3 linked regions of the Coturnix japonica genome follow. The protein of the gene in region 3 purifies or fractionates together with the protein of the main gene of each other region. This does not show direct contact. Links are inferred from orthologs where the notes say so. Each region holds a gene or a part of one and is shown on either strand. Other genes may lie near its edges. The genes, in order: SRPRB, ERLIN2 and TMEM259.

Region 1 (5,694 bases), on a different chromosome or scaffold from region 3:
GAACACTGCTGCCACCAACTGTGACCTCACCTGGCTTCTCCTTTGCAGGGTGGTGAACCAGGATGAGAAGTCATTTGCCATTGGCGTCCAGTTCTTGCTGATGAGGTTGCTGGGTGAGTGACTGCCTTGGGGCTTGGGGGGTGACGGGGTATTCTGAGCCTTGCTACAGCCACAGGAGGCATTGGGACCTCCTTGGAGGCAGCAGGTGAAGCACAAGGAAGGCAGAGAGCCTGACACTATTCTCTTCTCCAAAGCCTGGCTGCCAGCTCCAGCCATGTTTGGTGCCCTCATCGACTCCTCCTGCATTTACTGGCAGAAACAGTGCTCACAGCGTCGCTTCTGCGTCTACTACAACAATGACTTCCTTCGCAACAGGTACCTGTCCTCAGCTGTGGCACCTGGAGCTGCCATGGGAACAGTCCCCAAAGCCTCTGGGGCTGCCTCTGGATAGAGCATCTCCCCCCTCTTCTCTTTACAGATACCTGGGGCTGCAGGTGGGATACAAAGTGGTGGGCACCATCCTCCTTGCGCTCATTGGCTGGAAGGTGAAGAGGAGCAAGGAGTACAATGTGCAGGAGAAGGCGGCCGGCCTGGTGTAACTGCACAGAGAATGACTGCACTTCATTTGCCCACCACCAGCACTTTGACTTCTGGGGAATTTGGTTGATTTCTTGTTCTTTTGTAATGGAGCAACTTCAATATAGCAGCTCCTCCATCCTCTCGTGACAACCTGGACTGGGGAGAGGACATCTCTGTGCTCCCAACAAAGGACAATCCCCACTGGTCCCATCTTTGGATGCAGACTTGGACACAGCAGGGACCAGCTCCTCCAGATGGGTCATCCAAGACTCACCCGTTGCTTTGCAGGAAGCAGGAGGCAGATGGGGGCTGTGTTCCAGTTGGACACATACACAGATGCAAGCAACAGTCCTGCTCACCAGTGCATTCCAGGCAGGATAAGAGCAGGACTTGCTGCCAAGTTCTGGGGGCTTCCCTGTTTGCCCCAGCCCATCCCTTTGCACAGGTCAGCATGGACATGAAAAGTCGTCTCTTGTGGTTTAGTACAGAACATTTTGGAATGGGTTTTACTGTTGTGTTTTTTTAATAAAGGTCAATTTTCCATGTGGTGTGTCGGTCACCTCCATCCTGTAGGCAGGTAAGGGGCTTCTGCCACAGTGATGAGATGGAGCTGAGTTGGAGGAGCAGAGCTGGGGCTGGAGGAGAGTGAACTGGGTCTGGGTGATGAAGTTGAGATGGAGAGAGGGAAGGAAGCTGCAGCAAGATAGGGTGGAGAGGAATGGAACCATGCAGGGGATGCTCAGCCTGAGCAGTGTAGACCCTGACACCGCTAAGAAGAGTCAAGGCAAAGGTCAAGAGAGAATGAGCAAACCAGGACTTGAGAAGAAACTTTTAGTCAAATGCTTTATTACAGAAATAACTTAAAACCAAACAGGGTCTCATGCTACTTTATTCCACCTGACAGCGGTGTACAACTCTGATTTCGAAGGAGGTAGGTCTTAGCAAACAGAACTACCACTCAAGCAAACAGCAATATTCTGCAGCAAAGGGAGTTCAAGCACAACAAACACACTTCAGCAATGCTTTGGCTGCAGCAAATATCAAAATGTAACACAGTCCCTAAATATAACCCCTCCTATTCTCCTATGTGGGACAGCACAGCTCCCAGCTTATCTTTAGAGCTTCACTGTGAGCACAGGTCTTTGCTGAAGCCTGTTTGTGTTCCCCCCATCACTACTAACATGTAGCAGTACAACAGGGAGTCAGATGATGCCCAGAAAGGAGCATAACAGATCAGATGAGCCATTAAGCAAGCACTAAACCAGAGAGAAACCCACAAAGGACAGAAAAGGTGCATGAGAAGCCTAAGTTTGCTCCTTGCTTAGAACTACACAAAACCCAATAAAACTAGATGCAGTAGGACCTTGTAGTTCCCAGCATCGAATCCTGGAGAGTAATCCTCCTCACAGAGATGTTGTGTAGAGCCAGCATCCCACAGCACAGCACATAGCTGCTGGGCAGGGCAACTGACAAGTGTCTTAAGGCTGTAGTTCAGAAAGGACAAACTGAAACAGTCTCACAGATGCTGCTGCAATTTCTCCCTCAACACAACCAATGTTCCTGGCTACAGCAAAGAAAAGGGAAAGCAAAGGAACTTTTGGAAAGTTCAGGTCTAAGGCATACTGAATCAGACCCAACTACTGTCTCAACAAGCTTCAAAGCAGCCCAGCTGAGCCTCCCCAAGAGCTACAGCAACAGGCAGCAGTCCCTGATGAGATCACACACAGCAGCAGCTTTGCCTTCAACCACCACAAATACTGGGAAAAGCTCTCATGTTCTTCTCCAATAAGCATCTTCCTTGTAAGGAAGAATCACGCTCACACCAACGTGCTATCAAGCTCACCTTTCTCTTCATTTTGCTGCAACTGCTATGATGAATAACACAAAAAGGGCTCCTAATGGTAGACACTGGATAGGAGACGGGCAGGAAAAAGAACAGCAAGGGTCTGTCATGACAGATCTAACTCCTAACATACATATGAATCCAAAAATATGCCACTTCCATTGGTTCAAGCTAGGACCATTCTGTAAGTGCCATTCACTTGTTTACAGTCTGTTGGAGAAGAGCCTGAAGTACAGAAAGAATAGAGCGAAACAAGCTTTCAAGGCACAGCCCTGACAGAAAGAAAAACTCCCAAGAGCTGTCCAGCAAAAGGAGTCAACCAGAGACATGGGCACCACAGCCAGACACAGGCACTGCACAGTGACAAGGGCAGATCAACCAGCTTGCCTTTGAAATTTAACAAGCCACTCCAGTTCCACAAAAACTGGACTACACCTCCATGAAGAAACAGCGATGCAATGCTAATACAAAGCAGAAAAGGACAGACTACAGTTTCTAGACTCACCTGGCAGTGTATTCCTTCCTAAGTTGATTGGCAGCTGGATGATGAAAATACAAAAGATTTCAAGGAAACACAGAAGCCTATTGGGTCAGCAACGCAGGAAAAAAAGCAGAGGAGAGAGGGGAAAAAAGGTGGTGGTGTGACAGAGACAGAGAGGAAATCACACCAGTAAATGTTATATGCTCCCAAACAGAGGAAGACAATGCAATGCTTTTCCAGCATTCACTTTCTGCTTTGGTAAGATCCGAGTACTTCAAACCATCTATTTTCTTTCACTCCCCTGATGGGCCCCCCACGTGTCCTCAGGTCTCTCCCTCTCACCCTGCCCTTCTCTGATCAGGCGATCTTGGCCAGCCATTTCTCAAGGTCCTCAAAGTCAGCATCTCCCTCCTCTCCCTTGCTGCCACGAGCACTGCACTCCACAAACTCCACCTTCATGGGCAGCTGAGAGAAGTCGAAGTCCTTGCCCTTCTTTCCCAGCTGAGCAGGTCCCCCAGTGGCTGAGGCATCCAAACTGGTGGGGGCTGCAGAGCGGGTCACTCGTAAGGTGTTACTGCAGAAAGAGAAAGGAGAAGATCAGGAACTCAAATAGCAAAATGACACCTACATCATAAGCACTGAGATGCTTTGGTTTCAGCTGTCAGCAGGACATCAGCAACCCCAGGGACAGAAGGCCCCAGAGGCATACCCATATCCCTAACCCACGAGGCACAGGCAGGGACAGGCACTTTGCCTACTTGTAAACAGCTGCTACAAGGCACAACTGAGAGAGATTCAAGAGAAAGACAGATCGTGGGTTTGGTGAGAGAAGCAGAACTTCTGAAGAGACAAAGGCACCTTTCCATTGGTAGGGAATGAACCCAGACTGTGAGAGCTGCTTGTCTGACTACAGCTAAAAAGATGTTTAGCCCACAGTGCTCAAATCTGCACTGTTTTGACAGGTTACCTGGGAAAAGAGGCACCCAGGACATCAGGGATCATGCAGATCTTCACCCCATAGCCACCTTAACGTGCCAAATACTTCTGGAGACTGAGAGGTGGATCGAGCCTCCCCAGTGCTCCAGTGAGCAGTGCCTGGCCAAGGACCCCAGGCTGCAGCACTGCTGCTGTTTCTGCCCTTCATCTTGTGGCAGCATCTCAGCAACCCGCCACCCATATGAAGGGAGGAAAAACCTCACTGCTCACACTCAGGCATCCTGCTCCCACAAAGTATAAACTAGAGGCAGCACTGAAACAAACAGCAGCATGAAAAGGGCATTGAGGCACTGCAGTTTGACTGCTTCTAGTGTCCCAAAAACCAAGCTAGGGAAGTCAAGTTGCATCAGGCACGGATGCAAACAGCAACTTCTACCATGGAATTTGCCTTGCAGAAGGGAAGGTCAGGTACTCAGCAGTGAAAAGCAACAGTACAAATCACCCTGCTGCCACCCACTGGTCAATTTGGCTAGTGACAACCGCATCCCAGGAACACTCATTTGGATGCCAAAGAGTTACAAATGAACCACGGGGCACTGATTCTCCACATTACAGCTTTAAGGAAGCAATACACCACCCATCTTCTTTTTTGTCAAGCCAGGAACATTACTAGATCTTAGTGCTTTAGCAAGGACATTCTTCCCTCATCCTGATTACACCTACACAAAACAGACTTCTCCTTTTATTCATTGAGCACAGAAGTACTTAAAGGACTCACTAAACATGGGCAGGAGACAAAGGAGAAGACAGAAGAAGCCCAGAGGATTTAAGATCCAATTTCACACTTACAGCTCTTTCTCCAGCTGCTGTTGAATGAGTTTTGCAGACTTTGCCATTGTGACATCTAGAGAGAAAACAGAAAAGGAAATAATTAGCTCTTTGGTATTATGTCCAGATTAGCTTCCTACTCCGAAAGGTACAGCAAGGCTTGATCATATCATGCTGTCATAAGACGTAATGAGACAACAGCAATGGTGTAAGTGTTTGGATAAGGTACAGAAGAGCTTTAGATCTGTGGGCATGAATGAGAGCAACCCCAGAACCCAATTCAAGGCAGGGGATTAGTTTCTTCTCACAGTCTGGAAACAGGGCACTAAATCACTTCAAACAAGGCCCAGCATGCTCACCTGTCCTGGCATTACAGAGCTCACCACAATGCCTTCTAGAACTTGAAGGCTCCAAGATGCTCCTATGATACTGCAAGAAAAAACTAGAAAACCAAACCTGGCACTGGTAGAAAGTTTCAAATTGTCCTACAAGGATCCACACCTCTGCAGGAAAAGCTGTACGGATTGACCACTTAAGCCTGTCTAACGATCTCTAGCTCTTCAAGTGGTGCTTTTCTCCTAAGCTATTTGACGTATCTGACCTACGAATTCTTCCAAAGGCTGCTAGAAATGTTCTTGCTGAGTAGTCCAAGTCTACAACTAAATTTCTGTCTTCATTTTGCTGAAGCCCTGAAATTCTGAAGCCCTAAGAAATTCACCGTGTGTGGTGTAACACTATAATGTGATAAAAAACAAAGCAATGACAGCAGGGTAGCAAAGTCCCAGGCTTCAGCAAGTGAAGATAAGCCCCAGTGCAGCAGCCATAGACACAGAAACAAAGGAAAAAAAAGCTGCTTATCTGCAGGCCTCAGGTAGGCAGGGAGCTCCTCTCCAGCAAGATACCCCCTCCTCTCCACTGCCAACCCTTAAATGAGGTCTGGGAAGGGGTGCATCCTGGATCCACCCCTTGCAGCCACTCAGGTACACTGCATGCACCTGAGCTGCCCTGGGTTGGCCCTGCCTTCCAT
Region 2 (5,119 bases), on a different chromosome or scaffold from region 3:
TCAATTGAAAATCCATAAGACCTATTTCTTCCAAGCTATTGTTTTACAGTGAACTCATACGATAACATCCTTTATAATACCACTTGGTTTATCTGGGTCCATCAGTGAAAACACATTCATCAAAAGGAGGTTTTAGTTTACTAATGGAAAACCTTAACATGAATGCAGAACAATGCTAAAGCAAATGAGATCACCCTGAAAGGTTTAGATACTGTGACCTCACTCCTGCATTTCTGCTGGTCTTTGTTCAACATCTTCTTGCACAGACACATTTAGAGTAAGCAATATTACAGCCTACCCCCCAATGTGGTCTTTATGACCACTGTGTTGTCAGTCTGGGGATGGAACTTTCCTTAGCTTAAGATTTTCCAACAAATATAAAGATGACATCAAGGAGATGGGATTTTTCTCCATCAGAAACTGACAATCTCTTTTATTCTGTGTTTTCAAGTATCAGCTGTAATTCTTCTGACAGGGAAAATAAAACTGAAATGAAAAATACTGGAACAAGCAGCAGAAATTAATGAGATTTCTTAGTGTAAATTACTTCTTTAAAATGATTAATGCATCTTTAAAACACTGAAATGTGAAACCAAGCTTAGTAAAGCAGCAAGCATTTGGGGTATAAGATCGTAAATTCAACAGGTTGGTCCTGACCAACGTAGTGCTTATGCTTTCATCATCTTATAAGGGATGCATTGGCTGCAAATTATAACAGCAATTAATAAGCAGGCTCTCCTGCCAAGTGGCAGATGGATTTGGGGGAGAGGGAAAAGAAATTCTCTAGCCTTGAACTTTTGCCTTTAATACCCCCTCAAGTTTTGCACGTGTAAAACAAGAGACCTATTACCAATTTGCATCTGAGCAATGAAAAATGAATCCATTGTCTGAAATGAAAGGTACATCACATCTCACTGTTCTGACCAAAGAAGGAATGTTTCTCTTTGAACAGCCCAGAGAGAAGAGGTGGTCATATCTGCCCTGTGATTTTCTCCCCCCCAAGATGGTGCTTTGAGTCTTTTGCTCTCAGGAGATCTCAAGGTCTGTTGCAGATAAAACCACCCAGGTACAATGTTCCATTCATTTCAGCTTCTCTGAATATCCTCTTCCTAATATAATACTGCAAACACTGAAATCCCATTGGTCTTGCAGAACAGCAGAAGTACTGCAGTGACTGTGGGATGAATCACTCAAGCAGTTGCTCACTAGCAAGGCTTTTTGCAAGGGTCCCTGAGACAAAAACTGCATTCTCTCTACTTCTTTTCTGTCTATGACATCTGCAACAAGTACCATGCTTGCAGCCTGGTTGCACCAGTCCAAATAGCCACTGGCAGGCACTGCCTCCACCAGCACATCTAAGCCCCTCAGCCAGCAGATGAACACAAACTCTCCTCTGCCCTCCTCAAGTATAACAAATGGAAAAGAAACCAGTGTTAAAAATGCAAAAAAATGAGTAGTTTGGGCCACTACCTGTGTGACACGCAGTCTAAGGCTTACAACTCCCCCAGGGTAACAGCTGAAGTGCTGTACCTCACTGTGCATGCGGTCTCAACTGCACTACTGAGGCAAAACACGTTTGCTCAGACCTCAGTAAATGCTGGTTTCATGTATTTGCTACACCTTGAAGGGAGGATGGGCCTGGGGTTACCCACGGGCTGTTAGTCCCAGTGCTCCCAGGCAATGACCCATCATCTGAGCAATGCCTTCAAGCAGACATGGGTAGTGTACAAAAAGTCTAGCACCTTTTATGTTTTCTTCTCAAAGGGATTTGAATTAAGTACTAGAAATTTCCAGCTAGGAAAAAAAAAAGGTCATAGCAGCAATCCCCCCCTCCTGCCAAAATCTCAAAGCTTCCAACTGCTACCAACAACCTCAGCTCAAAACTCATTAACCATCTAAGCTGGCTGCAGAACAGATAGCCTAGCTAGCTTAGCCTCTCTGGAATCACTGGGTTTATAGCCCACTAGAAGGGAGAGGTGCATCTAGCAGACATATCTGGAGCAGATTACTTAGCAGTTACCAGAAACAACATTCCATAAATACCAAAGTTCACTGTGTCTAATTGTCATACAAAAGATTGAGAGGATTAAATTTTTCTTTTATCTCTTTCAGTACAGGAAAAGGGAACAACAAAAAGGAACTTCCCAGTTCGTGTTTCTTTTGATATAAAACAAATATAAATGTTTCTTTTTCAGTTGGTTTTATGAAGCACTTTTGTGTCTTCACTGGGTCCTGCCCCATCTTCTTCATGGATTCCTTCTGCAAGTCCCTCTGCAAATTTACTCTGGCTACCTGCATAGTCCATGAACATGTTGGGAATATCTTTGCCAAAATAGATCTTGCTGTTTGCTGCAATAGCCTTGTATTTCATCAGCTGCAAATACTCGGGAGTTAACTTCAGCTGCACGAAAAGAAAACAGATCACCAACAGCTCAGACAAAAGCAAATTCCTACCATAAGCACAGGAGGCATCTACCTTCCCAGAACACTAGTGGGTATGCTCATCCTCTCTCCAGAAAAGATGGAGTACCTCAAAGAATGCTCTCTTTCAGTCTAAGCAAAGCTAAGTCCAGGTGACTGAATGGTAAAATAAGGAAGTAATGGAAGTAGGTGGGGAAACGTTCAGTCCAAACATACCACAGAGATGGAGATGCTCTGAACTCTAACTGGAACAGAACTTGTACACAACCATCTCAGACCCTCTGTCCATTTCTACTGACCCTTACAACACAGGAATTCTTCCTGCTGGCATGTCCTGCGATCCTGATGTAGACAGTAACAAGTTGCATCCATGTGATTTCTGTCCCTAGGGTTCTGTTTTTTTGCAGGAACAAGGCTTTGCCAGGGTAATTACTTTGGTGAACAGAAACAACTTTATTTGTTCTGTACCTGAACACTTGTTTACTTTAAGCCTGTCTGTCACTCAGCAGATCTCCTTGCCTTGGTTACTTGCTAGCTTGCAGACTGAAATGGATCAACATGTCTCATTACAGCAGCATGAAAGGGCAACACTGAAAGTGATATTCTTTCTACAGTGGGAGTCATGGCCCCATTAGCATCCAGCAGATCTGTCTCCAGACATAAACCAGATATTTCACGTACCCTGACACAAATTCATCTGTTCAGAGCAGAAGGTGAATTTGCAAGTAAGGATATAATTATTGTTTCAGTCTCAAAGATAACTTCTCTGTCTTTGTTTGGCTTTTTGACCGAAACAAGACAGAACTCAGCTCTCCTGCTGAGTTCTATACAGAGTAATGTAAAGAGCTCTGCTACAAGGCACAGCATAAGGAAGTAATACCTTGTTAGCCTCGGCTATTTTCATAGCAGTATAGCATTCAGCATCAGCTCTTGCCTTCTCTCTTGCAAGAAACGCAGCATCTGGAAGAAAACAAATGCTCCCATATTCAGATTTTCATTTCCAGTCACGTCAGCACCATTTACAGCTGGAAGATTTTTAAAGCAGCAAGTACCACATCTAAACTGTAAGGGATACAACGAGGCGAAGAGGGAACAAAACTGGGAACCCAGAAATGGGATCTGCCTTTATCATCCTGTTGCATTTTAGATGTAATACTAAATACATTGTATCTGCAACTGAAGACCTCAAAGCATTTTATAAACATAAGGTTTTTATTACTGTCCTGTCACACAGGCAGAGAATGCTCTTTCTTCTCTAGCCAGCCACTAATTCTTGTGCTGCAAACGAAACAACCGTTGGGCTGCAAAAGTGATATTTACCCACAACATTTGCACAGGACTCCAAGAACTGCACAGCAGTCTGTTCTGCAGATGAAGTGCGTAGCTGTTAATGCAATTCCCCAGATGGGATTCTGTCTGGGATACTGAGGTTAAAGCTCTGGCACGCAGGGGCAGGCAGCTTTAACCTTTATAGGCTCTGCCCCATGGACAGATGTTGGCAGAGCTGTTCTGCTGCAGTATGAGCGTCTGTGTCAAGGGCCTGATCCCAAAGGACACTGAACTTTCCTGCTCCTAACAACGACATTTAAGGAAAGAAACATTTCCCTTTTCTGTACTGCATTCCTCTTTTTGGCTTCTGACTTTTTATCTGTCAGATGACACCGACGTGATGCCAAGCCATCATGTTAAGGCTAAGATGAATTTCATCTGGCTGGTTTGATGTGATCTGTTGAGATTCTTTCTCTAAAAGGAACCCACACATTTGTAATATATGCTAGTTTGGATTGCACAGCTGGATAACCCTGTTTGTTTACCTACATTAGTGGGGAGCCCTGTGAGCCACGACATTTAAAAACAGGAGGGCTTTCATAAGACTTCCTCTTTAGACTACTATAATAGTCAGGGACACTAAAAAGAACGAAGACCTGAATCCTCCACAGTCACAGAGCTGAGCTGAAGGCCTGACACACATTTATAAGAAATAAAACCTATTGTGCTTCCACAAATAACTTCATAATGAGAAGTTACTGATCTGTAAAACTCTTAATTGGCTCCTCAGTGGACCTCTGCAAAGGCTGACAGGACCTACAATGAATGGAAGCGAAAATAAGGCTTCACTACTCTGAGCTGGAAATGCAGACCTCTTCACGTCCTGGAATTTGCTTGGTAAAGCATTGTATTGGATGAGATGTCTTCTTAATTTAACAGTACAGCCTCCTAGAGAGATCACCCTTGCAAAAAAGCTTTAAGAAGCACAGTCTGTAAAGAAACATTCCTGTTCCCACCTCTGGTTAAGTCTATTTGCTAAAGAAAATTTTGCTAAAGGGCAAAAAAGCAAAATGCAGACTAAACAGAACCAGGAACAACTTAGATCTAAAGATTCTTCAGATTAAGTCACTGCAGAACATTCTCTTATTGGAAAGTCTTTCACTCACCTTCAATCTCTGAAATCCGTTTCTCTGTTTCTTTTTCCATCACTTTCTGTCCATAAGTTATTTCAGCAACTTGTGCAATTTTTTCTGCCTCTGAAATTAAAAGAGAACACATCCACATTGTTACACCACAGTCTTCCTGTTGCCAAAAGCAACTGCACCCATGGAAGTCCTTCCCACCCTCTCCTGGTGGCAGTCACTGGCAACAACTTTCAGCCTTCAGAACGTATCAGCCCACATTTATGGGCTAAGCTGAAACCTACTTG
Region 3 (5,119 bases):
CATGAATCTGAAATGAACAAAGCTTCAGTTTATGTGATTCTCAAATCAACTGCTATTCTAGGGGACTCGGATTGACAATGCTGCTCACTGTGCCATCAAATCCCAGAGCCTTCCACCTTGTGAAGGGCAGACACATCAACCATCTGCTGTGACCAGGTCAGAGAAGGGAATTATACCTCCTACAGATCCCAAAGGGACTTGCAGCACAAATACAAGAGGTGAGCATGTCCTTACCTACTAGAGCCAGAATAACAGTGAGCAGGGGAGCTGCAGGGAATGCAATTGTCATGTTCATTTCCAGCATCTGTAATAGGTCAACTGCAAGAAGGAAAACAGTGTAATGCAAAGAGAACACCAGGCCAAGGAACCCTCCAACCCCTACATCAGTCCACATTCAGAGCACTGTGATGCCCCCAAATGACACAGAAAATACCTACCAATGAAGACAAAGATCTGATGGTGTGAGTAGCGTAAGAGCATCGAAACAGACAGAGTCTGAAACAGGAGAACAGAAGCCGCTGTCAGAAACACAACACAGCAGAGGCTCAGGCAGGCAAGCTCGGACTCGTAATGTTCTGTGCATTTCCCATGTTTGTTAGTTTGAGCTACATGGGCCAATTTCTCTAAGAGTAATTAGGATTTCACAAACAGCAATTAATCTTCATATCACTGCTATAAGTAAGGAATTTGTTTGCAAAGAGGCTGATTCTGAATATTTGAGCAGAGGCCAAACCAAACAGCAGCAGAGCTGGAATGGAGGTTTCTTCCTATTGTGCATCTGTGCTCCTCCCAATAGCTCAAAATGCTTCACTGAGAAAAGTCACATTTCTTCTCTCACTGGCCACAATATGCTCTTTGCTTTTAGAACTCGAAATACCCACACTTGGAGGGGGGAAAGAAGAGCAGAACTCCATCAGCTTAGCTTTAAAGCAGCTGTGACCTCAGGCCTCTAACAGCAAACCTTGCCCGTGTGTTGGGCTCAGAGTTCATGGAATGCCCAGCTCCTCCCAACTTACAAATATAACCATGATGACAAAGGCTGCCAGGTAAGATGTCCTGGCCATCCACATGCTGACAAAGCGATAGTGCTCCCCAGACACCACATTGCGAAGGAAACCTGGGAACAAAGAAAGGGAAAAAGAAAGCACACAATTCCCATGTAAGTAACTCAGAACAAGAGCAAACTTCCAGTGCCCTCTGAAAAAACAGGTTGTAATGTCTGAGATCTATGCCAGCACTGCATCACAGCTGCACTCTTATTGTTATGCAGCGCAATAAGGCCATAGGAAATCACGTCTGCAGATGTCTCTTCTCTCCTGTTTCATTTTGTCCCCAGCAATAACAGCCCTACATAACACAGCGAGCTGCTCCCTGCGTTAGAGATTAATCAAAGTCAGAAGATGACATTCATGCATCTGCGGAAAAGCAGCACTCACTAAAGAGCTCCAACTCTTACCTTTGTTTTCTTCATTTTCAGCTAAGGCTTTGACACTTGACATCAGGATGTCATCATAACCCAGGAACTCATCAAGCAACAGACGACTGAACCTGTCCCCAAAGCACTGATCCCTGGTAGGATCTAAAACAGAAGAGCAGAGTAGTTATACCTTTATCCTTTTTAAATGTGAGCACAGTCTTCCCATCATTTAAAGCAGACTTGCAACTACGCTCAAACCTTTGGCAGTGTAACTGAACTGGGCAGGACTGCGAAGCAAAATGTCACACCCTGACAAATATAGCCACGCTGGTAAAATGCTGATGCCAGTCAGGCTTCAAGAATTCCATCTGGGCTGTTATACTCCCCACTGCCATACATACACAGGGGATTCATCTCCTGGGCTTGGACTGCGGCCCCAGTAACAAAGGGCTTTCCCTCTAGTAACAGCTCTCAGAATGAGTCTGTGTGCAGCTCAGAGGCTGGTAGAGATGTTTCTGCAGCCAGCTGGACTCTGCATGGTGCTGCTGGGGCCCAGAACCTCACCCACCCTCCAACAGCTCTGGGCACTCATGAAGCATGTATATGTATTCTGCTGGACACTGATCAGCTTGTAAAAATACCCCAGATCCAAGTAAAACATGAAGCCCAGAAACAATCTTTCAGTAAGTTACTCATGCAGGAACTTCTCTAGGTGAATTGGAAAGCCCAGGTCAGTAAACAGGCATTTAATATTGGCTCTTTCTCCAGTGAGAAAGCTATGCTAGACGCAACGTGAAGGCTCAGGTAACAGAATAGGCTCCAGCATTTCAGAGCACTCCTCTTGAAAAGGGTGTGACCTGCTAAAGCAATAACTGCTCCATAAAGCTCTCCTGCATGGAAAATGAGCGCCATCAACTGTTATAAACAGTTCCCACAAGACTAAAGAGATGGGATAAGTGTGAAGTTTGGAAGGGAGCTGCCAGCACGCAGGTATCTCTGCAAACACATCTCTGGCAGGGCTGGGTCCCTCACTCACCCAAAGTCACCACCATCACAGGGATGCTGAGGCGCTGCCGCGTGCTCTGGGACAGGCGCAGGAACCCATACTCCAAGGAATACTCCACAATGTACTCCTCCTGTGGCCACACTGCAAGAGAAGGTGGGAAGGGAGACTCAACAGGCAGTCAGCAAGAAGAAAACAGGCTCTGGTGTTTGTTTTGCTTTTAGTTTTTCACTACGAAATGGATTTAAGCTCAAATGCAAATAAGGCGTTGGATGTATCAATGCATGAATCACTTCATTTGTACCAGAGATCATTTTATCACAGTAACACACCCTGTCTAAGAGTTCAGCTTGGTGTACTTACAGCACAGAAGAGCTGGATTAAAAGAAAACATGAGATTTTCTAACTACATTAAGAAGGGGCACAGTTCTCTCTCCTACCACATTGCTGGATCATTCCCTGTTTGGTGTTCTGCAAATCAAGGCACAGTCTGTCAGCACACACAACATTGTACAACATGACTGTCTTATAGAGCTTAAGCAATTGTTAATTAAGGTATTGCACCAAAGATATTTAAACATCGCCCAGTCTTAAGAGACTTAATGATCTCAAATACAGGATTAATGAGTTGTGGATCTGCATCAAGCAAAACTCTGCAAGACCAAAGAAACAGTGCTGTTGTGATGTCCAGGCTCACAATCCTCAATGTAATCAGCTCAAGTCATGATGAAACAAGGATAGAACAGGACAATATTTCGAATGAGGCAGACTATTAACACAATCTTGCAATCTACTCCAACTTGCTTGGTGGCTTTCAGGATTAGTTTGCTATTCCAGGCACTGGTGTTGACTCAGGGGACCCAAAATACTGTTAATACAGTGAGGAATGTGAGCTGTGAGTTGGATCCCTGCGGGTCTCAAGAGGATATTAAATGCAGAACTGCTCAGAAAAAGGAGGTTTACATTCATCTTACATACCTGGCACTGGCTGCTGCAGAAACATGATGCCAGACCAGAAACCTCCAGCAAATTTTATAGCCCAGATGCACCCACCCAAATCCCAGCCTCCCTCCAACAGAAGGAAACACAGTGCTGTAAATCTGGTATCAGGAGTGACAAGATTCACCACAGGTTCAAGCAACAGGGATAACCAAGGGACAATGCCAAGTGCAGGCCCAGGGAAGCCAGGAGAAGTGCAGGGAAGATGCAGGGAAAGGAAAGAGCATAGATAGGGATGTAAGTTGTCTTTACCTGCTCTGGCTAGCATCTCAAACTCGGACACAGTCTCCCGCAGAGGCTGCATACCTTTAGTGGCTGCTTCACTAAATGAGAACTCCTGGCTTTCGTTGTGGGCCAGCGCCTCGGTGCTGCTCATCCGGGATGGCTTGAGGAACACCTTGGGCTCTATATCCAGCTCAAACTGTTGGGGAACAGTGGCAGAGGAGGTCAGGTTAGAAGCCAGGTCAGTTCCAGGCTCCTGTGCTCCCTCTGTGCCCTGGGCCGCCAACAGGAGGATATAAACAAGGCTGTTTGCTCAGGCTTTAACTTCTACCTTAAGATGTTGGAAGAAATGCAGGAAAAACTGAGGGAACACACACAGATTCTGAGTGACTGAGCGCACACGGAGGGACCACAGCACACTCACAGCATATGCACCAGCCCAAACCCACTCTCCCCTCCCCTCGTGCACGCAAGGAAACACATTTTTACCTTGATAGAGCTGTTTTCAAACATATCCACTGTCATTTCTTCTTCTTCCTCCTCCTCCTCCTCAGCCGTGGGCTCAACTACCATTCCTGGGAACTTCTCAGCACCACAGAACTGCAGGAAGATGGGGGCCCGGCTGGAGTTGCGCTGGATTTCCACCCTCAGGATGCCATCACGCGGCCATTTGTCCCTCACATGCTCCAAACAGTTGATGGGTGAACGGGAGAAGGCGATGTGAATGTACGCCAGGATGAAGAGCACAAAGAGAGCCTACAAACAGCAAGAAACAAAGCAGAGATTGTCAGCCCAACCAAACATTGCCCGTCGATAGGCTGCCCAGTTTCAGCCATCCCTTCTTCATGCAGATACTACAGCTGCAGGTGGATGAGAGCCTTTAAGCTTTCTAACCCTAACTGTATTTGCATCAAACAGCAGAACAGCCCCCAAATCAACTTTTCTTCCAGCTCCAGTGCTTATATAACACTCCCTTTGTACTTTGTCCTTCTGACACCTCGCTAACCTGCTGAAACCTCGTCTTTCTGAGGTTAAACACTAAGAGCCCTAAAGCTTTTCCTGGGAATGAGAGCTCCCAAAGTGCCTTTGACCAAAACTCCTCCATTAACACACCGTGCTGGGGCTGAGTGCAGCTGGCTGCCACCCAGGAGGCACACTGCCATGTTAATACATACACTGCCTAGGGTCAAAGAAGTGCTGACTTGCACAAAACCACGTGCAAAGTGCCTCCTGCCTTGCCTCTGTGTGCATAAGGGCACAGCATTTCCTTCCAAGCTCCAGCAGCATTCAGCACAGCTACAGAGCAGGTCAACTGCCACTCAGTCCCTACTGAATTCTCCCTCATTTCAAAGCATTGCCTGGAAGAAAACTGCCAATCCACAGATGGGTTTTTGTCAACTGATCCGCTGCCAACACAACCCAACCACCAGGAAAGGCCACCCGAGCTTATTCAGAGAGGTCGTAAAACACTCAGATCA

Evidence for each region.
Region 1: the proteins of TMEM259 (region 3) and SRPRB purify together in Homo sapiens (affinity purification with mass spectrometry; 3 studies listed by BioGRID and IntAct, counting the BioPlex papers as one, with this or other methods). This does not show direct contact. The link is inferred for Coturnix japonica from reciprocal best matches to the Homo sapiens genes TMEM259 and SRPRB.
Region 2: the proteins of TMEM259 (region 3) and ERLIN2 purify together in Homo sapiens (affinity purification with mass spectrometry; 3 studies listed by BioGRID and IntAct, with this or other methods). This does not show direct contact. The link is inferred for Coturnix japonica from reciprocal best matches to the Homo sapiens genes TMEM259 and ERLIN2.

Annotation. Positions count from the first base shown.
Region 1 is NC_029524.1:3,487,148-3,492,841, forward strand, and holds the end of SRPRB (signal recognition particle receptor subunit beta), read right to left. Parts: intron 4,744-5,694; coding exon 4,689-4,743; intron 3,478-4,688; coding exon 3,261-3,477; 3' UTR 1,397-3,260; downstream 1-1,396. Other genes in the region: SLCO2A1 (solute carrier organic anion transporter family member 2A1), read left to right, coding at 49-113, 255-375, 479-599. UniProt on the Homo sapiens protein: Component of the signal recognition particle (SRP) complex receptor (SR). Ensures, in conjunction with the SRP complex, the correct targeting of the nascent secretory proteins to the endoplasmic reticulum membrane system.
Region 2 is NC_029537.1:3,559,682-3,564,800, reverse strand, and holds part of ERLIN2 (erlin-2), read right to left. Parts: intron 4,947-5,119; coding exon 4,857-4,946; intron 3,382-4,856; coding exon 3,302-3,381; intron 2,402-3,301; coding exon 2,192-2,401; 3' UTR 1-2,191. UniProt on the Homo sapiens protein: Component of the ERLIN1/ERLIN2 complex which mediates the endoplasmic reticulum-associated degradation (ERAD) of inositol 1,4,5-trisphosphate receptors (IP3Rs) such as ITPR1.
Region 3 is NC_029543.1:1,972,417-1,977,535, forward strand, and holds part of TMEM259 (membralin), read right to left. Parts: intron 4,398-5,119; coding exon 4,131-4,397; intron 3,841-4,130; coding exon 3,672-3,840; intron 2,565-3,671; coding exon 2,454-2,564; intron 1,580-2,453; coding exon 1,457-1,579; intron 1,118-1,456; coding exon 1,017-1,117; intron 496-1,016; coding exon 438-495; intron 319-437; coding exon 235-318; intron 1-234. UniProt on the Homo sapiens protein: May have a role in the ERAD pathway required for clearance of misfolded proteins in the endoplasmic reticulum (ER). Promotes survival of motor neurons, probably by protecting against ER stress.